Ovis aries: one gene and its partners. The protein of the gene in region 2 binds, or shares a complex with, the protein of the main gene of each other region. Links are inferred from orthologs where the notes say so. Each region holds a gene or a part of one and is shown on either strand. Other genes may lie near its edges.

What was found.
Region 1: KAT2A (region 2) and SUPT7L share a complex: the UniProt entries of both Homo sapiens proteins name them as parts of the STAGA transcription coactivator-HAT complex. The link is inferred for Ovis aries from reciprocal best matches to the Homo sapiens genes KAT2A and SUPT7L.
Region 3: KAT2A (region 2) and DR1 share a complex: the UniProt entries of both Homo sapiens proteins name them as parts of the ADA2A-containing complex. The link is inferred for Ovis aries from reciprocal best matches to the Homo sapiens genes KAT2A and DR1.
Region 4: KAT2A (region 2) and YEATS2 share a complex: the UniProt entries of both Homo sapiens proteins name them as parts of the ADA2A-containing complex. The link is inferred for Ovis aries from reciprocal best matches to the Homo sapiens genes KAT2A and YEATS2.
Region 5: KAT2A (region 2) and MBIP share a complex: the UniProt entries of both Homo sapiens proteins name them as parts of the ADA2A-containing complex. The link is inferred for Ovis aries from reciprocal best matches to the Homo sapiens genes KAT2A and MBIP.

Annotation. Positions count from the first base shown.
Region 1 is NC_056056.1:34,683,784-34,689,816, forward strand, and holds the start of SUPT7L (STAGA complex 65 subunit gamma), read right to left. Parts: upstream 3,524-6,033; 5' UTR 3,286-3,523; intron 2,467-3,285; 5' UTR 2,366-2,466; intron 1,110-2,365; 5' UTR 905-1,109; coding exon 492-904; intron 1-491. Other genes in the region: SLC4A1AP (kanadaptin), read left to right, coding at 3,806-4,465, 4,667-4,859.
Region 2 is NC_056064.1:41,980,117-41,985,062, forward strand, and holds part of KAT2A (histone acetyltransferase KAT2A), read right to left. Parts: intron 3,405-4,946; coding exon 3,298-3,404; intron 3,107-3,297; coding exon 2,996-3,106; intron 2,898-2,995; coding exon 2,758-2,897; intron 2,675-2,757; coding exon 2,466-2,674; intron 2,285-2,465; coding exon 2,158-2,284; intron 832-2,157; coding exon 721-831; intron 418-720; coding exon 274-417; intron 40-273; coding exon 1-39. UniProt on the Homo sapiens protein: Protein lysine acyltransferase that can act as a acetyltransferase, glutaryltransferase, succinyltransferase or malonyltransferase, depending on the context.
Region 3 is NC_056054.1:70,553,519-70,559,383, reverse strand, and holds the start of DR1 (protein Dr1), read right to left. Parts: upstream 3,524-5,865; 5' UTR 2,793-3,523; coding exon 2,573-2,792; intron 1-2,572. UniProt on the Homo sapiens protein: The association of the DR1/DRAP1 heterodimer with TBP results in a functional repression of both activated and basal transcription of class II genes.
Region 4 is NC_056054.1:204,211,746-204,217,735, forward strand, and holds the start of YEATS2 (YEATS domain-containing protein 2), read right to left. Parts: upstream 3,524-5,990; 5' UTR 3,338-3,523; intron 3,196-3,337; exon of another isoform or gene 3,142-3,195; intron 1-3,141. UniProt on the Homo sapiens protein: Chromatin reader component of the ATAC complex, a complex with histone acetyltransferase activity on histones H3 and H4. YEATS2 specifically recognizes and binds histone H3 crotonylated at 'Lys-27' (H3K27cr).
Region 5 is NC_056071.1:44,239,239-44,245,019, forward strand, and holds the start of MBIP (MAP3K12-binding inhibitory protein 1), read right to left. Parts: upstream 3,524-5,781; 5' UTR 3,488-3,523; coding exon 3,359-3,487; exon of another isoform or gene 2,859-3,358; intron 1-2,858. UniProt on the Homo sapiens protein: Inhibits the MAP3K12 activity to induce the activation of the JNK/SAPK pathway. Component of the ATAC complex, a complex with histone acetyltransferase activity on histones H3 and H4.

The DNA.
Region 1 (6,033 bases), on a different chromosome or scaffold from region 2:
CAAGGATCAGGAACACTGTTATACTATAACTTCTTGAACTGTGTTATCAAAATGAAAATACACCATTTAAAAATTCTTGTATAGAACTCGTGGATTTCTAATGGTAAGAGAATAAGTCCATAAATCTCATCTTGAGGACAATGAGCTAAACCCACAGTATATCTTTTAATTAACAAGAAAAACTAGATTTGGAGGACTATGAGACCATGGCCTATTTTACAAACCAGTGTAGAACTTTGCTCCTAGTAAAGTGCTTGGCATATATTAGGTACTCAATAAATATTTGTTACATCAGAAAATAAAAAAATACAGACTCTGGATTTGGAAGAACATGGTTCAACTCTTCAGACTTTCCACTAATTACCTGAGCAACTTTGGCCCAGTCATTTACTCTCATCTTCAGTTTCCTCCTGGAAAAGTGGTGACATGCTTAACAAGGTTGTTGGGAAGATTTTTAGAGAAAAGTAACATATAGCAAAGCCTTGTCTTACCGATAAAAGTCACTCTCTGGGTCACTGTGCCGGACCTGGAACGGTGCACTGGGATTCTTACAATCTAAAGGAAGGAGATCATCAGGAAGAGGAGGTGACCCAGGGCAGGACGGAAGAGGTTCACTCTCTTCAGTCTTTACACCTTCTGTCTGTTGCTGATTCTGGGCCTGTGCTGTGGCAATGAGGTTACGCAGACGTCGGTTGTGCTGGATCAGCTGAATGGTGTGGATGGTGAGGCTGCAGGGCTCTGAGGGGATGTCCAGCATAGTGGGGGGCTTGGGCTTGTTGGCTGAGGGTTGGTGCAGAGGCGGGTCATGGACTTCTACCAGTCGGAACTCCCGAGGGAGCAAGTCAAAAGAACTTCTGTTGGTCTGGCTTGATGAGATTGGTATCTCTCCCCAGTATCTCAACATTTTGGAATCACAAAGGAAGAGCTCCCAAGTTAAATGTGGATGGTATCCTAAAGGCAACGTTTTAAAATCTCCAGCAACTGCAGGTTAAGGGCTTCTGTAGTGAGGAATACGAGGTCTAGCCAGGTATTGACATAAAAACTAGGCAGTTCAAGACCACTTAGAAAAAGTCAGTGTCAGCAACACTGTTGGACCAAGGACGTTCTTCCTGAAGAAATTAAGAGAAATATAACTGTTAATACCACAGTCATACACTGTGACAATTCCTACTGGACTGAACCACAAGGTAGAGTTTGGGTCTTTAGTAGACTAATAGCTGCAAGAGTATATTAGGCTACGGGGTCCATATTTTCCAACTCACCCCACTAACTTATTACCAATCCTGAGTGATTTGCAAGGCAAGACACTTAAATGAGACCTGGAATATTTCTCAGAGTATCTTGACACATCTTTCCTGGATCCACAGGAGAAAAAGGAGTAGAGTTAAAGATAGGAAAAGGTTCTTCTTCTTTTTTTTTTTCCGCTGTGCCGTGTAGCCTGTGGGATCTTAGTGCCAAGTCCTAACCACTGGACTGCCAGGGAATTCCTGATGTGGTTACTAATCTGTGAATGCTTCCCAGGTGGACTAGTGGTAAAGAAACTGCCTGCCAATGCAGGAGTAGGAGACATGGGCTCAATTCCTGGGTCAGGAAGATCCCCTGGAGAAGGAAATGGCAACCCACTCCAGTATTCTTGCCTGAAGAATCCCATGGACAGAAGAAACTGAGGGGCTAGAGTCCAAAGGGTCTCAAAGAGTCAGACACTACTGAAGTGACGTAGCATGCATGCATATGTGCCAAGCATGGGAACCTTTAACTAATCCTGGTGGAAAATTTTATGAACCACTATCCTAAATGGCCTTATGCATTCAACTTCTGACGTTCATAGGGAAGAATCTCAGATATCTGCTATCTCTTAAATAATACCCCTTCCTTTAGTCTCTCCTTGTATCAAATCTACTCTCTACAGTGATGCTGTGCTGTGCTTAATTGCTCAGTCATGTCCAATTGTTTGTGACCCCATGGACTGCAGCCTGCCAGGCTCCTCTGTCCTTGGGATTTTCCAGGCAACAATACTGGAGTGGGTTGCTATGCCCTCCTCCACGGGATCTTCCCAACCCAGGGATTGAACCCAGGTCTCCCACACTGCAGGCAAATTCTTTACCAACTGAGCCACTAGGGAAGCTCAAGAATACTGGAGTACCCTATCCCTTGGCCAGGGGATCTTCCCAACCCAGGAATCGAACCCTTGTCTCCTGCACTGCAGGCAGATTCTTTACCACAGCTGAGCTACCAGGGAAGCCTGTAGTGAGGCTAGATTTAATATTTTAAGCTTAGACCTAATGACTTCCCATTGACTACTGGAAAAACGTCAATGTTTTTTGATTTACCATTCAACACCAATTACAATCCAGCTTCAACTCACCTTTCCAGACTTATTGGCCATATGTCTCTTCAAATTCAATAAATATTTATCAAATGCCAAGTGTCATGTGAGGAGATAAAGACTAATTCAAGGTCCTTACCCTGAGGTGAGGGAGAAAAACACGAAAAGAATGTTTCAACATTAAAGTGTGTGGTCAGTGCTGTTCCAGAGACACAGACCAAGTTCGGTGAGAAAACACAAAGGAGGAACTTCCTGAAGAAAGTGACCATCTTAGTTCCAACCGTATCAGACTTCTCTGGTTGCGAATGCCATGCATTTCCACAGCTTAATGACGTGATCTCTGCAGGTAATGCCTTGCTACCTGCCACATCCCTGGCAGACTTGTATTCATCCTTAAGCATGATTTAAGTCACCACCCTCTATCACCTCCCCAACACATCTCCCCTTGTTAAGTCTCACAGCACTTTGTATGTCTCCATCACAGCATTTATCCCTGTATTTAAACTAGTACTTGTTTCAATTTTATTCTTCCATCTGTCTCTCACAGCTGCAATCTTGGTGTCTAAGATTTGAGTGCCTACTACATGCCAGGCTTTGCCTCTACTGTTAATTCAATTCTCCCAACCTTTCTATAAGTAGATGTCATAAAAAAAAAAAAAAGAGGTAGATACTATTATTACCCCACTTTTCAGACGTGGAAGCTGAGGCCTTCTGTCTTGCCTAATGTCGGAAACAGCTGAGAGGGAAGATCGAGATGGTCTGGATCCAGGGTCTGCACTCTTAACAACTACACTACGCTACCTCAACTGGTTTCAGAAAGAATAAAAGAAGGAAAGAATACATGAATGAACCAAGTGACAACAAAAATCGCCCTCTCCACTAACTTGACCCAAAGGAGCAGGAAGGACAGGCATCAAGCACAAGCAATGCCCACATCCCCATCAGGGCTCCTCCCTCACCATCAGCGGACTCGGGCGCCAATCACAGTGTCCTGGGGTCGTCTAAGGCTGGGGCAGCCCACACACAGGGAGATGTGGACCTGGACCGAGGCAAGGAGGCTCCACTATGGACTGCCACTTCGCAGGCACTGAACTGGGCGGCTGATGGGCTCCGAGAGGCCTGAGATAAGGGTCCTATCAGGTCCGGAAGGCTGGTGTGTTGACCAGTGGTTCAAGGCTGCCGGAAGCGCGTCTTCTCAATCAGGCTCCGCTGCAGGAAGTCATTACGACTCGGTTGCAACCTCTAAAGATGTCCCCATTCTGACAGTACCCCGACCGCCTTTTTCTTGTTTTCCTCTTACTACAACTTCCAGGGATAACTCGCTTCTTCACAAAGCTCTGGGTCGTAAGGGATCAACTCCACTATCGCTGCTAGAGAAGCGTCTGGAGGCTGGAGAGAGGGAGACGTGGAGAGGAATGTAGAGACCCGAGGAGGGTGAGGTTTCCCAGGGACAGATTTTGAGGCTGCTCCTGATTGAGGATGGCTGATAGTGCCTCTCAGTCCGAGCCGCTGGCTTCGCCGGAACTCGATGACGACTTCAAGAAGCCAGCCCTGCCGATGTCCCCGGCGGCGCGGAGTAAGGCCCCGGCCAACAATCCTCCAAACCCGGAGGAGGTGAAGGAAAGGCCCACGGCGCTGCCGGACTCTGATTCCGGGGAGCCGGATGTCCCGCCGGCCCTGCCAGACAGCAGGGAGACTAGGGGTCCAGCGGAGGAGCAGCCGCGGCCCCACACGGCGGCTCCTTCCCCTGGCGGCCCGTCCCGGGCTCCCCCTTACCGAGAGCCGCCGTGGGGCGGCCCCACCACGGCCCCCTACAGCCTCGAGACACTAAAAGGCGGCACCATCCTGGGCACCCGCAACTTGAAAGGACTGAGTTGCTGCCTTTTCGGGAGGCTCCCTAGCTGCGACGTGTGCCTGGAGCATCCTTCGGTGTCTCGCTACCATGCCGTGCTGCAGCACAGGGTGTCCGGCCTCGATGCAGAAGGTGACGGCCACGGGCCTGGCTTCTATCTCTACGATTTGGGAAGCACCCATGGCACTTTTCTCAACAAAACCCGTATCCCACCCCGCACCTATTGTCGGGTCCACGTCGGACATGTTCTTCGCTTTGGAGGCAGCACCCGGCTCTTTCTTCTTCAGGTAAGTAGAAAACCTTAGAATTGAAATCTCTGGAGCCCAGTCGGGTGCGTTCCTGAGCTCCTTAAGTTTTCCCTGATAAAAGAGATTGTCCTTTATGAAAGTGCGGGAATCTGGCTCCTCATCTCCAGACGTCTTTACGCCTTCTGAAAGTGACTTCAGCCATCCTGAACTCTAAAAGAATTCTTTCGCTTGATTCATCAGGGACCAGAGGAGGATCGAGAGGCAGAATCCGAGTTGACAGTAACGCAACTGAAGGAACTGCGCAAGCAGCAACAAATGATGTTGGAAAAGAAGATGCTGGGAGAAGACTCAGATGAAGAAGAAATGGATACCGCTGAAAGAAAGGGAAATACTAGTAGTCAGGACGATGAAATGGGCTGCACCTGGGGAATGGGTAAGGCATTAAAACTGCTGCCAGAGGTTAATAAATCCGTTTCTACTGGCATAGTTAATTTTTAAAAATCATACAGCTTTCATGACTCTTTGAGAAAGATGAGGCAAATACAGTTTGCACATAGGTTACCAAAACTTAGATTTATTAATTTTTCTGATGCCAAAAAACTGAATTATGGGCCTAATTGATTTCTTTTCATGTGTTTTACAATGCACTCCCTTGTTAAAAACTCTTAGCGTATAGTTTAACAATTAAAGTTTATTTCATTAATTAAGTACTGATTATCGCTAGAGGGAGTAAAACTACATTCAATCAAATAAAAGGGGATATTATCTAATACAGGAGTTCTGTCGAATTTTTTGTACTTTGTGTAAACACCCTGAAATGTGAAATATCTAATCAGAGGCATAAATTGAATTTTCCATAACACCAGACATTTTGGCGGATAGGTATTTGGGAGTGGAGTCTGAAAAGCTGGATGACCTTAACTGTGTTGTGGGGAAGACAGATAAGTGTTATGAAATTACTTGTGGTAAGTGCCAAACAAAAGCTGGAAACCACTAGTATGCCGGACTAAGGGTTCAGAGAAGGGAGCAGCCCCTGAGTACCTAGACCTGCACCATCCAGTATGGTCATCATCAGCCACACTGGGCACTTACGGGGTGGCTAGTCCAAACTCACATGTGCCGTAAAGGTAAAATACACACTGGGTTTCAAAGGCTTAGTGTGAAAAACGAATGTAAAATATCTCATTCATAATACTTTTCTTTTGATTACATGATAATTTCACCTGTTTCTCATGTTTTTAATGCGGCTACTGGAAAATGTAAGATTGCATATATGGTTTTCGTTATAATGCCTGTTGGGCAGCACTGACAGAACTTTGGGACAGTGCATAAGTTTATAAACAGAAGGGTTTTAAGCTGGGAATTGAAGGAAAGGAAAAGAAGCCCTTAGGAAACTGAGCATTGGGACGATGTCCAGGGCAGGGATTGATGATTTTTAAGGAAGTTCCGAGTAGATCAGTCTGTTGGTGGATATGATAAGTACTGGGAAATTATATTGAAGACAATGTATAAGACCAGGCTGTGAGAGAATGAGAATGCGGGACTGAGGAGTTTAGATTTTTCTTTTTTTGCATAGAGAATGTGGTAGGCAGTCTTGCTTTTAAAAT
Region 2 (4,946 bases):
GATCTGGGCCTGTTTGCGCTCAATCAGCTTCTTGATGATCTGAGCGAAGGAAGGGTCTGAGAGGCCAACCCAGCTCCAGCAACCAGACTCTCCGGCCGCAGGCAGGGAGGGCTCCCCCACTTGCCCCTCGAGGCAGCGCAAGAACCAAGACCCTGGCCAGCCCCACTTCATGTGTGCACAGCAGGTATATACGCATCTCTATACCCACACACGTGTTCACTCAAGCGCATGTTCACGAGAGCCCCATGGAGACACGCACGTGAGCATACGCACCTCCTTCTGCTTCTTGATGATGTGGGACAGCTCTGTGTAGGGGATTCGAGGGTTCAGCTCACACTCCATCAGTGTCGCACCCTCGTAGTCCTTGATGTAGCCCAAGTAGCGGCTCTTGGGCACCTTGATGTCCTTGGAGAAGCCCTAGGGAGTGGAGAGTTACCACCAACCCATCAGCAAGGCTCTTCCAGCTTGAATTTGTCCCTGGAACATTTCCAGGCCGGCAGCCCTTCCGGATTCACCCCCGCCCCCTGCGCCCCACCCTGAGAACTTCCCAGCTCTCCCAGCTGCCTCTTCCCTGGGGCAGCAGCAGGAGGGAGGAAGACAGGCATGAAGGACTTCCCTACAGGTGCTGGATGGAACAGGGGACATGAAGCCCACCCGCACCGGGGGCGAGACAGAATGACCCCGGGCCCCAGTCAGTGGGCAGACAGAGGTGAGAGTCACCTGCTTCTTGAAGTAGCCGATGGCGTACTCGTCGGCGTAGGTGAGGAAGTAGAGGATGCTGTGCTTGATGTGATACTCCTTCAGGTGGTTCATCAGGTGAGTGCCGTAGCCCTGCAGGGGAGGGGCAGAGCTCATCAGGCGGGAGGAGGCGGGCCTACAGCTAGAGCGGCCTCAGGAGGGGGGGAGAGGAGGGCGGGGACAGGACGGAGCCGACTGGAAAGGAGGTGGGGACAGCCAGGGGATCCGAGTCAGGCAGGAGGAAAGGCGACCGGCAGAGGAAGGGGAGCTTATAGGCAGAAAAGCGAAGGATGCTGGGTTTCTAAGCGCTTACTCCAGGCCAGGTGCGACGCTTGGTTCTTTACAGAGCAATCCTCAAGTTAACCCATGAAACAGCTATCATTACCTCCATCTTACAGAAGAAAAAACTGAAACTCAGCTATGTCAGGAAATATGTCCAGGTCAGGTGACCAGCCATGGCAGGGAGAGCCTGGATCTAAACCCAACCGGGAAGCTGTGGTCCACAGGCCACGGTTCCCAGTCCCTGGGCCTCAGAACTGGAGGAAAGGGGAGAGGGGATCACAAGGGCCCCCCTCATCATGACATCTGAACCCCAAAGAGACACCCTGTCATCCACAAACATTAGGACCGGAGGCACCACGCAGATCTGAGTTATGGAAAATGGGACAATCATGGAATCTTCTGGTGGTCCAGTGGTTAGGATACCTTGCTTTCACTGCCAAGGGTGTGGGTTTGATTCTAGTTGGGGAACTAAGACCTGGCAAGCCTCACAGTGCAGCCAAAAAATAAAAATAAAAAATAAAGTAGCCACACCATTTTAAAAAACAGATAAGACAAACCGGGGACCCTACTAGTCGGCCTGTTGTGACAGGATAGAAGACAGGACGACCACCCAGAGCGGGACTGTTGTAAAAATTATCAACTCTCCGATGCATGTACATGCTCTTGTGATGAAGGAAACACAGATCCCTTTAAAACTGTTACTATAAATCTGCAGAGTTCTCATCACAAAGGAAAAAGCATTTTTTCTCTGCTCCTTTCATTTTGTACCTATATAAGATGATAGATGTTCGCTGTGGTTGTTTCATGATGTATATAAGTCGAAGCGTCAGGCTGTACATCCTAAACTTACACAGTCCTACATGTCAGTTGCATCTCCATAAAACTAGCGGAAAACAAGTGTTACTGATTCTTGGGCACCCTGTGTCGACAGGTGTTTTCTTAATTCAGTTATCAAATTACAACTGCCACCTTGTGGGGATGTGAGGAAGTGTCGGGCCATTAAAAGAAGGCTTGGGGGCAGCTGTGTCACTACTGTGCTGCTCTGACCTGGTCCAGACTCGGAAGCAGGGGGTGGGATGAAGCTGGGACCAGGAGCTCCCTGACCTCTACCCACACTGGGGGCGAGCACAGACTCACCTTGACCTGCTCATTGGAGGTGACAGCACAGAAGACGATCTCCGTGAAGCCCTGGGTGGGAAACATGCGGAAGCAAATCCCACCAATGACCCGCCCATCCTTGATCAAGGCCAGAGTCTTGTGCTTCCTGAGGGGAGAGAGCTCAGGTCACAGGCCTTACCCGTCCCCTGAATGTTCCTCAGGAACCCACCACCCCGGAGGCCTGAGCTGCACACAGTGCTGGGAACTAAGGAGCAAGAATTCCCCAGGGATGGAGGAAGAGGCCCAGGGAGCAGTGGGGGGTGTCCTGGGCTCTCCCAGGGACCTACGGGTCGAAGACGAGGCGGGCAATGTACTCCTTGGGCATTCGCGGCAGCTGGTGGGAGAAGACGTTCTGTAGCCCCACCAGCCACAGCAACACCCGCCGATTGGCCTTGGGTGTGAGCGAGTTGCCAATGACGTGGAACTCAATGATGCCTCGGCGCTCTTCCAGGCGAGCAGTCTCATCCCGGGCGGCGTTGGCCGACAGCAGGCTCGTCTGGGAACCAGAGCAGGGAGTGATGAGCCAGGGTCTGCGGGGGTGAGCCCCCGCCCAATGGGTTGGGAGGCTGGGCTGCCCACCTCGGGCCCTAGCATGGCGGCGGGGTCGGTGATGGTGAGCATGACCTCATTAACCAGCTCCATGGGGATGTCACCCATCACACGGAGCCGCTTGGCATCCTCCAGGGTCAGGTTCTCTGGGAGCTTCCTCTTCTCGCCTGCTGAGGGGGTTGGCAAGGTCTCCCAGGCACAGCAAGAGAGACCGGGCCAGGGCTGGGTGGGGGAAACGAGGGGTGGAGGTCAGGGGTCAAGTACCCACCTGGCATGGGCTCAGCGCCTCCAGAATCCAGGCTCAAGGAGCTGTTGCTGCTCCCACCCATGGTGGGGCTGAAGATGGGGGCACTGGGAACAACTGCAGCGCTGACTGTAGCTGAGAGAGCGAAAGAGGAAACAATCGGGATGGAACTCAAAGGTAGGGTGTGTCCCGCAAAGATAGCCTGGCTCTCCCACTCCTGTCGAGCCCTCCTGCACTTCCCCCCTGCTACCAGTCGCAGCCCCTCCTCCCCCAGAGGCGCTGAGCTCAGCCAGGAAGGCCAAGCAGACAGCCTGCTGCGCACGTACCTGGCCGGGGCACCAGTTGTGTTCCCTCTGAGGGCGGCATGGTGAAGCCTGACTCCCAGATCGGAGAGTTTGCCCCATAGATCTCCTCCTCTAGCATGGACAGGAATCTGTGGGGAAGGGTACAACCTGTCCCACAACTCTGTTCTCCGACAGGGAGCAGCCTGGGCCAGACACAGGGACTGGAGGCCGCCCAGGGACCTGGGAGACAAAGATGGCCTCTGTGCTCTGGGAGCCCCTCTCTGAAGATAGGAGGACAGGATGATTCAGAAGAGATCAGAGGCCCAGTATGCCAGGGTGAGGAGTGCAGGGGGACAAGGCCTGAAATGATGCCATCCTGTGCTGCGCACCAGGCAGGGCACCCAGTCACCCTGGGCCTCAGTATCGAAATGGGACTCCACCCTCTCCTGCTACCTCTTGCTCCCACCTGGTGGCTGGAGGAGCATAGGAGGGTCTGGATCAGTCAGGAGAGAGAGTGTGTGTGTGTGGTGTATGTGGGTGTGGTGTGGTGTGTGGGTGTGGTGTGGTGTGTGTGTGTGGTGTGGGGTATGTGTGGGGTGTGTATGTGTGGGGTGTGTGTGGTGTGGTGTGTGTGTGGGGTGTGTGTTTATGTGGGTGTGGTATGTGTATAGGGTGTCTGTGGTGTGGTGTGTATGTGGGGTGTCTATGTGTGGGGTGGGTGTGTGGGTGTGGTGTGTGTGGGTGTGGTGTGTATGTGGGGTGTGTGTGTATGTGGGGTGTGTGTGTGTGGGTGTGGTGTGTATGTGGGGTATGTGTGGGGGGCGTGGGTGTGTGTCTGTGGTGCGGTGTGGGATGTGTGTGGGGGCGTGTGTGTGTGTGGGTGTGTGTGGTGTGTATGTGTGGTGTGTATGTGTGGGGTATGTGTGGTGTGGTGTGTGTGGGGGGGGTGTGTGATGTGGGGGGTGTGGGGTGTGTATGTGTGGTGTGGGTGTGTGTGTGAGGTGTGTGTGTATGTGGGTGTGGTGTGGGGGTGTATGTGTGGTGTGGTGTGTATGTGGGGGTGTATGTGTGGGGTGGGGGTGTGTGTGGTGTGTGGTGGGTGTGGTGTGGTGTGGTGTGTGTGTGTGGTGGGTATGTGTGTATGTGGGTGTGGTGTGGGTGTGTGTGTGTGGTGTGGTGTGTATGTGGGGGGTGTATGTGTGGGGTGGGGGTGTGTGTGGGGTGGTGTGGTGTGTGTGTGGGGTGGGTATGTGTGTGTGGTGTGGTGTATATGGGGTGTGTGTCTGGTATGGTGTGTATGTGGGGTGGGTATGTGTGGGGTGGGTATGTATGTGTGGTGTGGTGTGTATGTGTGTGATGTGATGTGTGTGTGTATGTGGGTTGTGTGTGTTGCTCCATCGAGTCCGACGCTGTGCAACCCCATACACTGTAGCCTGCCAGGCTTCTCTGTTCGTGGAATTTTCCAGGCAGGAATACTGGAGTGGGTTGCCATGCCCTCCTCCAGGGAATCTTCCTGACCCAGGGATCGAAACCCATCTCTTATATCTCCTGCACTGGCAGGTGGATTCTTTACCACTGCACCACTTGGAAATCTGTGGATACCTATGAACCACGTTTAAAATGAAAAGACAGTGTGGCAAAACAGAGAAAAATCTTACAGAAGGACTAGAACAGGGGTGGAAATTGGCTTC
Region 3 (5,865 bases), on a different chromosome or scaffold from region 2:
ATGTTAGAACTCATTTAAGAATGTGTTCACAGAAACCCAGAAACAAAATAAAAACATCTTTTAAGTGTAGAACTCCCTCTATTTGTGTGTATGTTATCTTCCATGCCAAGTCCATGTTCTTAAACTCAAGCAAAATATCTGTATTAAATTTTTTAAAAATTTTAACTAGGTTATACAATTTCAGATTTACTGGCAATAAAATTTGTTCAACTTTAGCTTGCATTTTACAAAACTGCCTCAAAATTTGCTCTGAGAAGGCAAAGCAAAGTGGCAAGTGAAATGTCCTGAAGCAAAGTCTAGTTCATTAAACTTATTACTAAAAAAATCCAAACTTAAATATGTGAGAATCAAATCACTTTAAAATGTACATTATTCCACTTGGATGTATCTTACATTCCTAAATAATCAAATTGACAAAACAGCATTAAAAAATGTCATAATCAGCTTTCCAGAATCAGTCTATAAAATTACACTTTAAACACCTAAAAAAATACACACCTTAAGAATTTCTTTTAAAGAATTTTAATCACTCAAGATAAAAATTTCTTTAAATGATTAAGCAATATGAGATTATAAATATATAAAGTCTATCCCTCTAACGGGAGAATTTGGGGTTAAAATGTACATCCTTATCTAACACTTAAGAACAGCAATATTACAAGAAAACAAAAGTAACTTTATAAAGCTCTAACAGGTCAATACATTATTTTTTTTAATTAATAAATCATCCTCAGTACATAAGGAAAATGCTTTCACTGGAACTTTCTGACTCATACATTAAACTGAATTTAGCATATTCCGAAGTTGAGCTATTTAACTAGCATACTGCTAGCTACAGCTGTACTTTTCTTCCATCACGTCAATCAGAAATCTAAATATATCCTAGAAAAGAATAAACTCTACCCAAGAAGACAGACTGTAAGGCATTATTAGATTTTTGGAAAGATCCCCACTTCCGTGGTGTAAACAAATGTTTAAGCAGATCCTTTTGAAATCTTTTGCAATTTTCATTAGAAAGGCAATGTTGATAAAAGATCTGTTTTCTCTTTTATGAATTATAAAAGGAAATTACAGCTATTTGTGTTGGACAATCTTGTGAAAGATTTGTGACAACTGCACATATAATGTAAAAATAAAAACACAAGAGGAAAAATAGACAACTTGGCTTTCATTTTACTTGCCAGAGTACTCTAAACAAGTAAAAGACTAGCTTTAAAGTCAAATATACCTTTTCCTTGGGGTTTCTTTTTCTCCTTATGTACTGAAATGGAAATGTCAAAGTATGTTTTATGTATCAATAAGAATCAAAAATGAAATTACAGAAGTCATTTCAAAAATGAAATGACAAAATACTTCTGTCAATAATTCCTGTAAAATACTGTATATGGTGAATATGAGAAGATGTGTCCTCTACTTCAGTATAACAGGAAAGTCACCTTTTAAAAAGTTAAATTATAACAATAAAATGGTAGATAACTGCCTGCCTACCAAAATTAAATTAAAATTAATCTTTTTTTCTGACTTCAAAAGCGATCCAGAAATTGTTAGAATTTTAATTGGGTTATTATAAAAGGCAAGTTATCACTTCAAAATTGACCACAACCTTCCCCTAAGATTATATGTACCAGTCACAGAAAGTGCTTCCCAAAACATTATGACTAGTAAATGTCTCCCCATTCCTGAAACAAACCATCAGAATATGGTCCCCCAAAGCCCTATTAACTGAACTAAATCCTTTCCAAGATACAAGAGGAGAAACTGTTAAACTTTCAGAAGTGTTCAATAAACGCTTAAGCGTATACATCTAAAAGGGGACGACAGAAGGAAACAAAAGGGAAATGTTCCACGAAAAAAAAAAATCTCACAGTCTTTAAACCCAAGCTTTAAAAACCTACCTCTAAGGCACAATGCAAGCTATGGAAGGAAGAAAGGAAGGAAGGATAAAGAACACTGACTGCTTCTTTCCTACAGAATAGAACTGGAGTGCTTTGGCAACTTGTTGATGAACGGTAGGGACCATGAAACCATTTTTAAAGCAGAAAATATACTCCAGTCAACACTAATAAACTTTACAATTGTGAACATTTACGTTAAGAATATTTTTACTCGTGTTCTGTAAATTGATCTTGTCTCCTACACTGGTGAAAAAGGTCGGGTGGGAAAGGGGTGCCCTCTCCACTCAAGCTTGAACTTCCTGTCTGAATTCTAATTCTCCAAGAACTTCTGGCTTCCTCTCTCAGTTGTCATGATCCAGGTTTCAATTTAGGCAGGCAAAGTTCTTGTTGCTTAGGTTTACCTGGCTGTAGGCTGAGACCGCTACTACTACTTTCTTCGGGGGGATGTTAGCCGACTTAATCGCCTGCAACTCTCACCTGCATTTGGTATTTGGAAAGGACCACGAGAATACTACACAGAGGTCTGAAGGCACCGGCTGCCTCCTTGCCCGCAATGGCTTTTCAGTTACCAATACTAACCAGGAGACAGAACTGAAGGCTTTGACATGAACGCGTCACGCGACCAGCAGGATGTCCCCGGCCCCTCTTTGAAACAAAATCCCACAAATACCACTTACCTTGTATGACGTGCTCTGGCGAGATGGTTTTCTTTTCCGATTTGTTGCAAATCTCATTGGCTTCAGAAGATATAAGGTGAATGAATTCAGTGCAGCAGTTCACCACCAGCTCCCGGGCATCGTTGGCCACCCGGACATTGGGGAGAGTCTCTTTGATCATCTTATTGATAGCAGCTCTGGGTATAGTGAGATCATCATCGTTGCCAGATGAGGAAGCCATCGCACCTTCTCTCTCGCGCCCCGACTTTTAAAAACTCCTTTAACTCTGGTCCACGACGATTTTTCAAAAGGCCGCCCTCGGAGAGCGATCCAGGAGTCCCTCTGAGATGAGCGTGCAGAAAATTAAGGGGCCAGGGGTGGCTGGAGAGAGAGGGGAACACCCGTGTGTGTGAAAGATTTAAGGCGAGATTGGGAGCAAAGTTGGAGGATAGGGGGGTGTTGAGGATTTTGGGGACAGCACTGCCCAGGTCGGAGAGGGGAAGGCAAGGTGGTCCGGAATCTGAGCACTAGAAAACCCCCTTCGTGTCTCCTCAGAGGGGCGTGCGCTGTCGTCTAACCGTTCCCCAACGGCGCGGAGCAGAGGCAAGGTCCGGGGGCACTGGTCTGGCCGCGGAACAGGGCGGACACTCAGCGGGCAAGGCTCTACAGAACCGGAGCCCCCGCTGCTGCCGCCGCCGCCGCCGCCGCCAGCAGCCGATGCCGCCGCCTCTGCCAAACCATCCTTCAGACACCCGCGCCGCCGCCTCACAACATGTCGGCCGCAGCCGCTGCCGGAACCGAGGCGGTCTCCTGGGAACGAATACGGACAGAACCAGGCACAAGGAGACCGGCAGCGGCGTCTGCTGTGACCGTTTAGCCCGAACGCAGATCGTGGAAGCCGAAGCCGCCGCAACGGTGGTCCCTCCAGAAGCCAGCGAAGCTTTACAGGAAGCCTCTCCCGATACCCTTTGCGCTACCGGAAGCCTCGCCCCCACACGTTACCCCCCCAACCCCACTTCCAGACCAACTTCCGGGTGTGGCAGCCGCCCTTCCCCCACCCTTGTCGGCGGGAACCGCCCGTCTTCTCCGCCAGCAGCTTCCGCCTGCCGCAGTCCCGGCACGCGCTCTGGGGTCCCGCCCCTTCCCAGGGATAGTGACCGGGCGAGCGCGCGCCTCGCGGTACCGAAGACACCCGAGCACGCGCCAGGGCTTCGGCACCAGAGGCGGGTTGTGATGGGTGGGTGTACTGGCTAGGGTGGATCGCTGCTACTACCTTCTCTCAGCCAGCTGAGGCCTGCTTAGCCACGTTTGGAGACAAAGGAGCGGAGCGCTGGATTTCGTTCAAAGAACTTGCTTTGCTAACGTTCAGTTCAGTTCAGTTCATTTGCGAGGAGCCCGAATTGAGATTGAAAGGAAGAAGGACGAAGTCCAGGCTCGGGAATGGGATGTGGGGAAAGGAAAACTCCGTTTTCCTGGGTCTGCATCGTCCTGAGGAAAAAGTTGTTGATGATATCTAATAGACTTTATTCGGACCAAAGATCTCTATGGTCCTCCACCCCTTTTTCTGGGTTTATGGGAATGAAACAGAGAAGTGACAGCCACTACTAATTAACAGCTAAGCTGGAAACTAAAAATAAGATCCAGAGTAGTGGAGAGGCGTAGTGTACAATGAGCCAAATTACAAGATTCCCACTTAGACGTTTTCCGTGATGTATTGGTTCTGATAAGGTAGGGGAAAGTGGGTTAAAGTATGTTAAGAAACTGATTTTCTCTTCTTTCCCGGGAAGCAAACGTGTGGCAAGTTCTTTACAAAAATTGCATTTTTTAAAAAGTAATTTGCCATAACGTCTTTTTGAAGAAGAGGCTGTTATAAATAGAGTGTTGCAATTTCTCAAAAGTAAAAGAGATAAAATTTAAATCAGTTTAGGCACTTTAGTTAATCATATACAGTTGTACACTGGCAGCAACTGGCTTGTTTGAAGTGTTTTCTTAAAAGTTTTGTATTTTGGTGTACGACCCTAGATGTCACATCTTGAGGAAATCATACTTCTTGTTTTTTTTTTTTTTTTTTTTCCATTTAGCATTTTCTCTAGTATACTTGCAGGTTCTTTAATTTCTACAGTGTAGACATTTGTTTCTTAGCATTATTAAGTTTAGTCAAAATAAAATGTCTTTGATAAAATGATATTTTAAACTTTTTCTTCAAAATAGGAATGTGAAACTGTTGGCTCAGATGTAGGCCTCTATGAAAGAATTTCCTTCCTATATATATATCTTGTTTCCTTTCTACATGCTTGTTTGTTTCCTACATAACTTCATAATATTCTTCTGGAAATCCAATTTTTGTTCTTCCAACTCTAAAGGGTCCAGCTTTCAATGAAGAATACCCCCCACCACCACCACAACTAGAGAAAGTCCACTCCCTGGAAGACCCAACATAGCCAAAAATAAATAATAATTTTAAAAAATTAGAAAAGGAAGTACTACAGATGCAGTGAGCTTCTGGTTTGTTCATCCCTGTATCCCTGGGGCCTGCACAGATCCTGCTACATAATAAGCAAATATTTGTTAACTCTGGAGGTGAATGAGGACCTTTAAGGATAGCAGAGTAAAAAAGAAGTCCAAAGACAAAAAGAAGAAAGTATGTCAGGGGATACTTGTTAGAAACCAAGAAGGTATAGTGCAAAGGAAGCCATGAGGGGAATTTTTTTGTTCATGTGTGCACACGTGTGCTAAGCCACTTCAGTCAAGTCCGACTCTGCAACCCTATGGACTGCTACCTGCCAGTCTCCTCTGTCTTTGGGATTCTCCAGGCAAGAATACTGGAGTAGGTTACTGTGCTCTTTATTTTTGGCAGCCTTGGGTCTTTGTTGCTGGTGGGCTTTCTTTAGTTGCCCAGAGTGGGGGCTACTCTAGTTGCTGTGTGTGGGGTTTATCATTGTGGTGGTTTTTCTTGTTGGTTTCTCTAGGTGTGCAGGCTCAAGTTGGAAGGGTGTGAGATGCCACAGAGAAGCATTGTTGGAAGGGGATCAAACAGTCACTGAAGTAAAAGGTCAATATGAGAAAGCAGAAGTCAACATGAAAACAGTTTAGGACAGAAATGCAGAAAAGAGCAAGGAGCACAGAACACACTTTCCAAAATCTGGGTGGTGAAGGGAAAGGGACAATGGAATGACACTTGAGGAAGAAGCAGGGTCAAGAAAAAATTGCAAAGGCTCAGAGACACATACATGTAGTTCAAAGGAAAAGAGGTGTAGATTGACAATACAAGCAAGGTAAGACTTTAAGGAAATGGAGGTGGATGAGATTGAAAG
Region 4 (5,990 bases), on a different chromosome or scaffold from region 2:
GGAGCCTGTCAGGCTACAGTTCGTGGGGTCTCAGAGTCAGACACGACTGAGCAACTGAACAATAAGAAAAAATATACAGATACTGGAATATTATCTAGCCTTAAAAAGGAATGAAATCCAGACATAAGCTACAACATGGACGAACCTTCAGGACATTATGTGAAGTAAAATAAACCTGTCACAAAAAGACAAATACTGTTTGATTCCACTTATATGAGGTATTTAGAGTAGTCAATAACACAGAGACAGAAAGCTGAATGGCCATAGGCTGGGGGTAAGGGGGAAATGAGAAGTTATTGTTTAGTGGGTACAGTTTCAGTTTTACAAGATGAAAAGAGCTGTGGAGATTGATGGTGGTAATGGCTGCACAATGGTATGAATGTATTTAACACCAGTGAGAAATGGTTATGGTGGTAAATTTTATGTTATGTGTATTTTACTACAATTTTTAAAATGTATATGTAAAAGTTAAATGGTCAAGTATGGTTTTTCCATTATTAACTATGTTCTTCCTGATGGACTACAGATAATAAACTCATTTATTCTGGGGGAGGACACATTAGGGGGACAATTCTGTAAGCTCTCCATCAGGCTACATATATTTAGAATCTAGCGAGCTCCTGATAATCAGAAAATCAATCAGAAAGTGACAAGCACAAATAAAAAGATGCACAGAGGACAGGAACAGAAATTCACAAATGGCCAATAAAAGTGAAAAATGTTCAAACATACTAGTATAAAGGAATGAAACATGAAACAAAACACCATTTTCAACTATCAAATTTAGTTTGGGGAGAGATGAAAATAAGGTATGTTGAACAAGGGACACTTGCTCCTAATTCACACTCATTGTCTTCTCTTCCTCACTCCCGTTCAATTACTTCCATATGTTTCCACCTCCAACTTCCAGTCTGGTTAGTAACGCCAATGACCAAACTAATAACCTCTGTGTTGCCAAATCCAAGTGAGCACCTCATTAAACATCTCAGAAGCACTGAGGAGCCAAGACTCCGTGGACCAGAAACCTATTTCTCATGGCTCCCATGATACTAGTTTCCTGCTTTTTCTCCTACCTCACTGGCTGTTCTTCCGTCCTGCGCTCAATCTTCTTCCTCTATAAGATCTTCAAGCATTAGAATGCCTGAGTCTCACTCTATTATTCACTTTTCTATATAGTTTTTACCTAAGTGCTCTCAGTTCAGTTGCTCAGTCGTATCTGACTCTTTGCGACCCGATGGACTGCAGCACGCCAGGCCTCCCTGTCCTTCACCAACTCTCGGAGTTTACTCAAACTCATGTCCAGCGAGTCGGTGATGCCATTCAACCGTCTCATCCTGTTGTCCCCTTCTCCTCCCGCCTTCAATCTTTCCCACCATCAGGGTCTTTTCAAATGAGTCAGTTCTTCGCATCAGGTGGCCAAAGTAATGGAGTCTCGGCTTCAACATCAATCCTTCAATGAACACTCAGGACTGATCTCCTTTAGGATGGACTGGATGGATCTCCTTGCAGTCCAAGGGACTCTCAAGAGTCTTCTCCAACACCACAGTTCAAAAGCATCAGTTCTTCAGCACTCAGCTTTCTTGACAGTCCAACTCTCACAGAACTGCTGGAAAAACCATAGCCTTGACAGACGGACTTTGTTGGCCAAGTAGTCTCTGCTTTTTAATATGCTGTCTAGGTTGGTCATAATTTCCTTCCAAGGAGTAAGCGTCTTTTAATTTCATGGCTGCAATCACCATCTGCAGGGATTCTGGAGCCCCAAAAAATAAAGTCTGCCACTGTTTCCCCATCTATTTGCCATGAAGTGCTCCCAGGTGGTCTCATAACTTTGAATATCATCTATATACTGAGTACTCTCAAATTTTTATCTCCAACTCTAGGCTCTGTTCTGGAAGCTCCAAACCTGTACATCCAACTGCCTCAATATACTGACTTCATATCTAAAATACATTTCAAATGTAATACACCCAAAACAGAACTCATGATTTCTTCCATCTCAAACTGCTCTCTTCCATTCTTCTCAGTGAACGCTGCCATCTACTCAAAGTTGCTCAAAACAAGTATCAAAAAGCAGAGTTCTCCCTTTCCCCCACCAATTCATTTCCAAGTCTTGTTCATTCTACCTCCAAAATAACTGTTAATCTTTCTACTCTCCTCCATCTCCAAACCATGGACCTAGTCCAAAGTACTGTAAACTACCCAACCTTCCAGCTTCCTCTCTTGCTCTCTTCCTCTGCACAGCAGTCAGATTATGCTTTCCTTCTTAAAACCTTCAAAGAATTCTCATAAAAGTGAAATTCCTAAGAACAGCTTCACCTGCTCCCATCTTTCAAAGAACATCCACAACCGAAAATATACTCAATGATAATAGCTCTACACAATAAAACTATGGTACCTTTCCTCATTTTTCTTTCCCGTATTTTTAAAATTTTTCTATGAATGCCTGCTCCTTGCTCATTAAGAAAGTAAATTATATTGCTGAATAGTACATAACATTACATTGCATTTTAACATGTAAATAAAAAAAGGGAATGCAAAATGGTAGTTAAAACTCAGTAACAGTTACAAGCTTAGAAGAAAATACAAGCAAACATCAAAATTCTAAGAATGAGAAGTCAGGGTTGTAGATTTACTGGTAGTATTTTCTTCCACTTTTTTTTTTTTAACATAATTACACTCATTAAAAAAAAAGGTTATGAGATAAACCTGTCTTCTGCAATCTGGCCACAACCCACCAAACCAGCCTTTCTTTTCCCAAGTACTCATTTTCCCAAGCTTTTCACTCCAACCCGGCACTGTCTCACAGCTCTGATGCTTTAACGCGGGCACCATTCCTGGAATATCCTCCACCTTTCTAAATCCTACTCATCCTTCACGGCGGAGACGAACGATAGGGAAGGCGACAGGTTGAAGGGAGATTCCAGGATTCTTGCTGATAAATTCACAACTTGCCGGTGCTGGGACCAAATTTTGTCTCCAATCCCACTGCAGGCCACCAGGTTTAACATCCTAAAAGCTCCCGCCACTGGGGCCCAGGGAACCCATATCCTCTCAGAAAGCGCGGTGCCCCTTAGAAAGAACACCCCTCACACCCAAATTCCGGGTTCCCGCTGCGGAGACTCCCCAGCCACACACACTCACCCTGGACCCAGTTTCCTCCTCCGGGGCCTCTCGGCTCCACAGTCACTCGTCCCCTCCCTCCCCTCAGCCAGGGGGCCGGCGCCTCAGGCGGGGTGGGGGAGGGGCGCGCACGTGCCCGCGCCGCCCCCGCCCAGACAATGCCCGGGAGAGCGGAGCGCGCGCCCGGCGGTCCCATCTCGCTCCCGCCAACACTTACCCTCTTTCTGGGTCTCCGGCTGAAGCGCAGACACCGCCGGGTGCCGCGAGAGGGCACGGGGGAGGGGAGGAAGCGGGCCGAGCCCCGCAGAGCCGCCCCACCACGAGGCCCCAGCGACCCCGGAGCCCGCGGAAGCACACGGCACGGCGGAGCCCGCCCGGCCCGTTTGGCCCGGACGTCAGCACCAGGGACGGGGCGGGGCGCGCGCCGCGGCGGCGGCGGCGACGCGCGAGGTTCCGGGGGCGGAGCTCGAGAGGTTGTGGGCGGGGGGACAGAGCTCGCAAGGTTGTGGGCGGAGCCGGGGCCGGGGCCGGGCCGGGGCTGAGACTGTGCCAGACTCTCACCGTGACCTGCACTGCCCTGCTTCCTGGGGAGAATGGGCGTCTATTCTGGTGAAGGCACCATCATATATAGTTTTCTCCTTAGAGGAAGGTAACAAGTTGCAGCCCCAAGAAAATATTCTGCCGGCATTTATGAAGCTTCCACAGCAAAGAAAACAGTAGCTATGATTTTCGTGTGTTTAATCATATACCAAGCTTTATACTAGGTGTTAGGGATACAAATAACTATAGTTATTACTAACCTGTTTTACAGATGCAGGAACGAAGGCTCAGAAAGGTTGGATCTTATCTAGGTCATGCAACTAGTGAGTAACAGTCCATCAGGTACTGTTTTCCACCTAAATATCTCTTGAGCTCAGCCTTCCTTTTCCTTCTCCCTGTGCCCCGGTACAGCAAATCCCACATCTATCTGCCCAAGTCTGCTATAGCCTCACATCTGGTCTCCAGGGATCTATTTCTGTCCCCCTTCAATCTGTTTTCTTCACTAGGTAAAGATTTACCATTGAAATGACCAAGGTTTAAAGGGTAAAATTTTACCCTTTACATTTTTTTTCACTTTACATACATGTTATCAATTTTTTGAATGTGTTTGATGTTTAGTAAAAACGTTTTAAAGGATTTACTCCTATATTGTCAATAGCAAGCCCAGTGCATTGCACATAGTATGCAGTCAAAATGTATTTGTTGAATAAATGAATAGTGGGGCCAGAAACTTACTCCAAAGCACTGCATGATAAGGGAATACAGGGATTTATAAAATGTCATTGTTGGCCTCCTGATCTTAATGTCTATTTAGGGTAATGGCAGATTAAAAATATTTGTTCAAGACTTCTCTTGTGGTCCAGTGGCTAAGACTCCAGACTCCCAATGCTGGGGGCCTGGGTTCCATCCCTGGTCAGGGAGCTAGATCCCACCTGCTACAACTAAGAGTTTGTGTACCACAACTAAGACCTGGTGCAGCCAAATAAATAAATATCTTTTAAAAGAAAGCAATATTTGTTTAGCAATTTTTATGTGTGTTTCTATTCTATGTCCTGGCACTATGTGCCTAGCACTATGTTAGATACTGTGGATCAGAAATGAACAAAACAGTTTCTGCCCTTGTGAGACTGACAGTCAATCTAATCTGAAAAGCCAGGAAAGAACTCACTTAGACTTATGCTAAAACCCAAAAAGAGAATAGGAATGGGGAGATAAAAATAAATTTCGCAGAGAAAGAGGTAGGATAAGTGGTCAGCATGGATATATCTGTATTCTCCTACTTTGGGGATCTAACCCTGAGGCAGGGGATTAGAAATATCCAGCTAAGTGTGAAGGAATCTTGAAGCCCACTGTCTCTGGCCCAGGTTGGAAGGCTGCCCAGTTCTGGCAGAAGTCTCAAATTGATCAGGGCTTAGGAAAAGACAGTGGCGTTAAGGAGAACAAACAATCTGAAATGGTGCTGCTGCTGCAGGTAAGTTGCTTCAGTCATGTCCAACTCCGTGTGACCCCATAGACGGCAGCCCACCAGGCTCCCCCGTCCCTGGGATTCTCCAGGCTGCTGCATGTCTACAATTTGCAGATGGTGTGCTGGAAACCCAGACTTCTCTTATGCCTTCTGCCAGGCAAGAAGAAAGTAGCATGAGAACCATGCAGGTAATGGCTGGAGAATGTGGCTAAGACCCCAAGGATGGGCAAAGCTGAAAACCCCAACAAGAGCTGAAGTGCTCCCAGTCAGCTGATGAGAGGAGCAGGGATGGGAAGGTGAGACGTCAGAGTCTCAAGGTACTAAAGCAACAAATTACGAGTTGACAGTCAACAACCTCAGCAGCTGATACCAGGCCCTGGTGACCAGGTATGACTAGGGACATGGCTGCGAAGGCCAGTGAGGACCTAGGCTATAGCTCACAGCTCTGCACAGACCTAAGACTCCTCTGGTCACTGCCTCAAAGCTTCCTTTTGGTCCCACAGGCCATCTTGGGATGTCAAGAGTGAGGAGGGGAAAGTTCTGATAGGACTGTAACTTTAAATTGACTGTTCACCCAAAATGAGATGGTTTAAGATCATACAACTTTGGTAAGCTTTTTTTTGTTGTTGTTTTACCAGAGTACTTTTTTTAGATGGAATGAAAGAGTCTTTAAATTCTATAGTGCTTTGCAATTTTCAAATGTTTCACACTCATGATTTCATGTGATTCCATAATAATCCTTTCTTCCCTCTATGCCTGTATTCCCGCTCTTCATTCCCTCTCCCCACTGGTAACCACTAGTTTGTTCTCTATGTATGTGAGTCTACTTCTTTCTTGTTTCATTCACTAGTTTGTTGTGTTTTTT
Region 5 (5,781 bases), on a different chromosome or scaffold from region 2:
TTTTTTTTTTTTTTTTAATAATTCAGTATCTGAAAACTTTTGGATAGGGGCCAACAAATGCTTGCCCTATTCAAAATCCTACTGCTTCTAGCTAAGAACATTAAATACAGGGGGAGGTACATTTATGAAAGTTCTGATTTCATAATTTCTGCATTTGTTTTTGTTAAATATGCACATAAATATGTAACAAATATATCATTCCTCTGATGTCTTCCGAATCACATTTTCATTGTTTTCAATTTTAACCAATTTTTTAAATTTAAAAATCAACTCATATATTCATATTCATATATATTATAAAGTCTGCAGCTACATGGCAGCATATGTTTACTTCAAATAAAAATTAAACTATTATTTAGCTGTGGAAATCTGAAATTTAAAAACAAATGTTTTTCCACAATAGTGAAATAAACAGCCAAAGACTGGATGGAAAGGTCAGACTCACTGCTAAACAGTATTTTCTAGTACAATGTAAGAGTTCATGAAAATTTCTCCTAAATTGGCTATGTATGGCCTATTACGATAAAGTTATACATAGAAAACTACCACAAACCTGAATATAAAATTAATACCAAGATGAGTCAACATTTCAGAGGGAAAGCCTCCATTTTTAGTATTTCAAGTGAATAAAAGTGAATCACTGTAAACATTTTTAGGGACACGTGTGTTATGGCATATATCCTGCATCACAGGATCAAGTTAACTCTTATTTTTTCAGAAATCATTTATTTAAAATTAGTCATGTTTTCTACAAAATAAGGACAAGTGTTCTATTAGTTAAGATCTTATGAACTGTGATTATAATAAAACAAAAAAAATGAATCACTGTACCAAAGAGATCCAAAGTTCCCCAAAAGGCACTATATGTATGAATGCTGTATGACAGAAATTTACCACCCTTTGACCAGAAATATTTAAAGTCCATATTAGACAAGTGTAAAGAAGTTTTGTGTAGGATGCACTGGCAAAAATTAGTTTGTTATTTTAACTAAATTAGTTTGTTATTTTATATTAAGAAAATCATATTAATCTTAATTTCTATTTTTTAGTGCTTATAAATGTTTCAACAGCTTATGCATGGAAGTAACCCATCACTATACTTTTACAGTTCTAAAGGAATCTATAATTGATTATAACAAACTTACAAATACAGTTTGGGGATAACGCAGGCAAATCCTCAACCAAAGCAAAGCATCAAATTTTCTAGAAAATAACTTATAGAAATTAAATTGAATGTCTGGATTATATTCTCATTTCAATTTAGCAGAATTATATAAACTTTCAAGTGCAAGATACTTGGTCTTTGAAGAAACCACATAACAATGCCACAAATTAACTTTAAAACTATCCCCAATACATCCAACTATTATTCAACAAATTCCCTATTAGTAATATATGAATTCTGTGCATTTTTACCTATAGAACTTGTAAACCATTCAGTCAAAAAGGTATTAGTCTGTCATTAATATGAACTATTTAAAATACACATTTCAGTAAAAACTTTATTACACTAATATAAAAATCCAAGTTAACAATAAATATTTCTTCAGCTTGGTAAAATGCAGCAACCAGAGGCAAAATCAGTATTCAATAAATTCAAAATCTGGGCTAGGAAAATTTTAACATCTGATTCTATGTTTCCTATTGAGGAGAGCTAATAACACAATGATACTATATAGAAGGAACTAGGCATTTTACAACATAGATTTTTTTAAATTTCTTAATCTTGTTTCAAAGGGAAATAGTTATTTCCACCAGGAACAATTTTATAAGTATAGTATTCTGGCTTTCAGTATCTTTAACAGTACATCTCAAAATATAAAGAGTATCACCAAATTGGCTAGCATTTAATTGATGAGATAATCTTACTTTTTGACAATCTTATTTAGTCTTATTTATGGCCCCTTTACTCTGTCATGAAAACTAACCAAATATTTACTCTCTAGATATTTTTGACAGGTGACATAAGTAAATTTTAACCACAGCACTATTTTTACCTACAGAATGTTTAAAATTTTTAAATGAGTTTTAAAAATTCAGTATGCAAACTATTTCAAAAGATAGGTTTAAATTAACGTTTTTAAAAAGTATCTCATCAGTGGTGGGGGGGTACTTTTGTAAACTTTAGGTGCATATAAACTTTTTAAATCTTGATATTAGGATTAAAAAAAGAAGTTCCAATGTCCACGCCATAGAAAGTTCTCCAACTTTTAAACCATTTACAGATCTTGAGTCTTCAGACTGAAATAATTACCCTAAGTCTTAAAAAATACATAAATAAAAGTTCTAAGTCCTTGACAAACTAATGAGTTTAAAAGTTACAACTTTTAGCTGACTCTATTAATAATCATCCCATTACTCCAAAATGAATGTTTAACTAAGACCAATGCTCTCTGTAAGTCAGGACAAACATTGAAATTTTTTTAAATACTGAAATAACCTTTTAAAAGACTGATTCACCATCTACCCAAGGCTTTTAAAAATAATTTTCACAAACACTCTATTTTCATAAAGGAAGTTACCGTTATGTTCAACGCAAACGCCTAAGTCCAAGATTTTTTTTAAAACATTTCTTTTTGAAAGCAGATAAACATATTTTCAAGCTGTTTCTCATTTAAAATTTGCTTTGCATTTACATCAGTAAACAGTGCTTTCAGTGCAAGCAGTACCTTTATTTAAGCTCCATTTTATTATGACATTTCGACAAAAGCTATTTACCAGCCAGTTAAACTAATAAATAGTTGAATTACGAGTTAAACAAATTGTGATGCAAGCTGTATTGACCAAAGGTAACTCAGCCAACTTTATGCTACAAACAGTTTAGGTTAATTCTTTTTCTCTTCCGCCTTGTTTTAAAGGGGAAGAGATGCAAGCTACGGCCAGAAGGAAAAAAGTAAACAAAAGCAAGTGACTCATAAGAGCAAATCACCCTAAAGAGGCGGAGAGAGCGCTATTCCAGAAATCTCAGGCCCTACGAACCTATCAATTTCTACAATGAATGAACTGGAGGAAAAACGATCCTGAGGCTCCAGGCGCCTCCCAAACCATCAGAGAAGCTCTTCCGTATCCAATCTCTCCAAGCCAGTTTCTTACCGAGCCGCGTTTTCACTTACACTAGCCTCATTCACTCATGGTGAGAAGAGCTGCAAACCTAGCCTGTCACCGGTCAGGATATAACCCGCGCGGCCATCCTCATTCAGCCCACAGGGTACCCGGCCCACGCTCCTCCCCCGGCCTCTGCTGCTCCAGCCGGCTCCCACACCCTGCAGGCCTCCGGTGGCCCCTGCCTCCGCGCAAGGGAAAATGGGAGGAGGGGCAGGCCTGTTCCCAGACCCCTACTCCACAGAGCATCACTCACTTGTCCAGCCAGGTTATGCAAGGAGCGGAAGACTTCGCAGACTATCTCTCGGGAGAGGCTGGGGCTGCAGCTCCGCTCCAGGCTCCTGTCACCGATCGTAGGGCGACTAAGCTCAGCGGCTGCAGCCATGACACTTTCTGAGGCTGCCCCAGCCAGCACCAAAGTGCGCTCACAACCCACCCCTCCCTCCATCGCCTCTGTCGCTCCGCGATGATGTCAAAACACTGCGTCTCTTTTAGACCAAGGCTTTGAGGACCCTCTGTGTGACTGACAAGCATCTGCCCCAATCAGGTTCCGCTGAGGACCGCGAGCGGATGATTGCCGACCTACGTGAGGCTGGCCACAGTATTTCCACTGGAGATTGGAATTGGTAGCCAAAGAGGGTTAGCTTCGTGAAGTCTACCTTGACCCAGATGTTAATGATGAGTATTGCTAGAGAAAACTTTTATAGTTAAATGTTAGTGATTTAGTCCCATATTAAAAGTTAAAATTTTAACATGGCCCTGTGGAGTGGCCTGGAGAAAGATCGCTCGTCAGGGATGCAGCGCTGCCAACGATTGTTTGTAAATATTGAGAACTTTTCCACATAGAATTGTCATAACTGGATAGAATATTTTCACCAATATTCAAATTAACATCACTAATTTTTCATTAGAGGAAGAAGATATAAAACAAAAATGTTTATGCCTCATTTATTATCAAGGGAATGTTAGATCTGCAAAGTAATTCTGTCAAGTTTTAAAACTGATGAATCAGTTGTTTTTCTCTGGGTAATAGGATAGAGACACTCATCCTAAAACTATTTCAATAAAGGGAAACACTGTCAAGATGATCCCAACAGGAATTTAACCCGAGTAAGCAATCGCATGCAACACAATCTCTGAAATCAGAATATACAAATCCAAATTGAAAATTGACAAAATGTTACTTATCAGATAACTTTGTTAAAAGATGCTTAGTTTGTAGTATTACAAAGTCTAACATTAAAAGTCTGTCCTGTGCAATTGAAGAAAAAAGTTTAGAAAGTTTTTAGTGTTAAAATCTGTTACGCTTGAACAATAAACATTGTCAGTATAGAGATAAGGGAGGAAGGATTTAATGTTCTAATAATCTAATGCCTTTAGAAGAAGCAGAGATGGAAACTTGCACAAAGTGTATTCTTCAGTTTTAGAGTAGTCTGAATGAAAGGAAAGGAATAAGGCACCAAGGAACTGGGATTAAGAGCAATAGGGGTTTTTAAAAAGCCTTTGACCTGTCCCTGCTGCTGCTGCTGCTAAATCGCTTCAGTCGTGTCCGAATCTGTGTGACCCCATGGACGGCAGCCCACCAGGCTCCCCCGTCCCTGGGATTCTACAGGCAAGAGCACTGAAGTGCTGTTGCCATTTCCTTCTCCAATGCATGAAAGTGAAAAGTGAAAGTGAAGTTGCTCAGTCGTGTCCGACTCTTCCCGACCCCATGGATTGCATCCCACCAGGTTCCTCCGTCCATGGGATTTTTCAGGCAAGAGTACTGCAGTGGGGTGCCATTGCCTTCTCCCTAAGTAAGTGTTAATCGCTCAGTCATGCCCGACTCTTTGCGACCCCATGAACTGCAGCCCACCAGGCTCCCCTGTACATGAGATTTTCCAGGCCAAGAATACTGGAGTGGGTTGCCATTTCCTTCTCCAAGGGATCTTCCCAACCCAGGGATTGAACCCCGGTCTCTTGCACTGCAGGCAGATTCTTTACCAACTGAGCTACAAGGGAAACCCTGCCTTCTCCCTAGGGAGGCTCTTAATTAGGCTTTCATTTTCAAAGAGCATCAGGCTTGATAGGGTCTTCAGTAGTCTTGTCTGGTCCCTGTTCACAGCAAGATATACAGTTTATAATCCAGCCTATGTCTAGAGATGTCAGATAGAAAGATCTCACAATATCTAATCCCAAATTTAAGCAACCTTCTCATTCAAGCCACTCATCCTCATATTTAACCTAAATTCAGGATTCTTTGCGATGTTAGCATATTTTCTCTGCCTTTGGTTCTCTTGTTAGAGAATCATTCTAATGAGGTAACTAGTTTCTGTTTGGTAACATATTAGCAACCAATTCCAGATCATTTGTTTTCATCTAGATGTGAGGTCTTTCTTTTATTCCCCCAATATTCAGGACACTGGTATGAAACACATTTGGGAACTTGATTTGTATAAGAATACCATCTTTAATAAGATACTGCTCATCTTTTTCTTTTGGAGAAGGAAATGGCAACCCACTCCAGTATTCTTGCCTAGAGAATCCTGGGGACAGAGGAGCCTGGGGGCTGCTGTCCATAGGGTCGCACAGACTCGGACACGACTGAAGCGACTTAGCATGCATGCATGCACTGGAGAAGGAAATGGCAACCCACTCCAGTATTCTTGCCTGGAGAATCCCAGGGACAGAGGAGCCTGA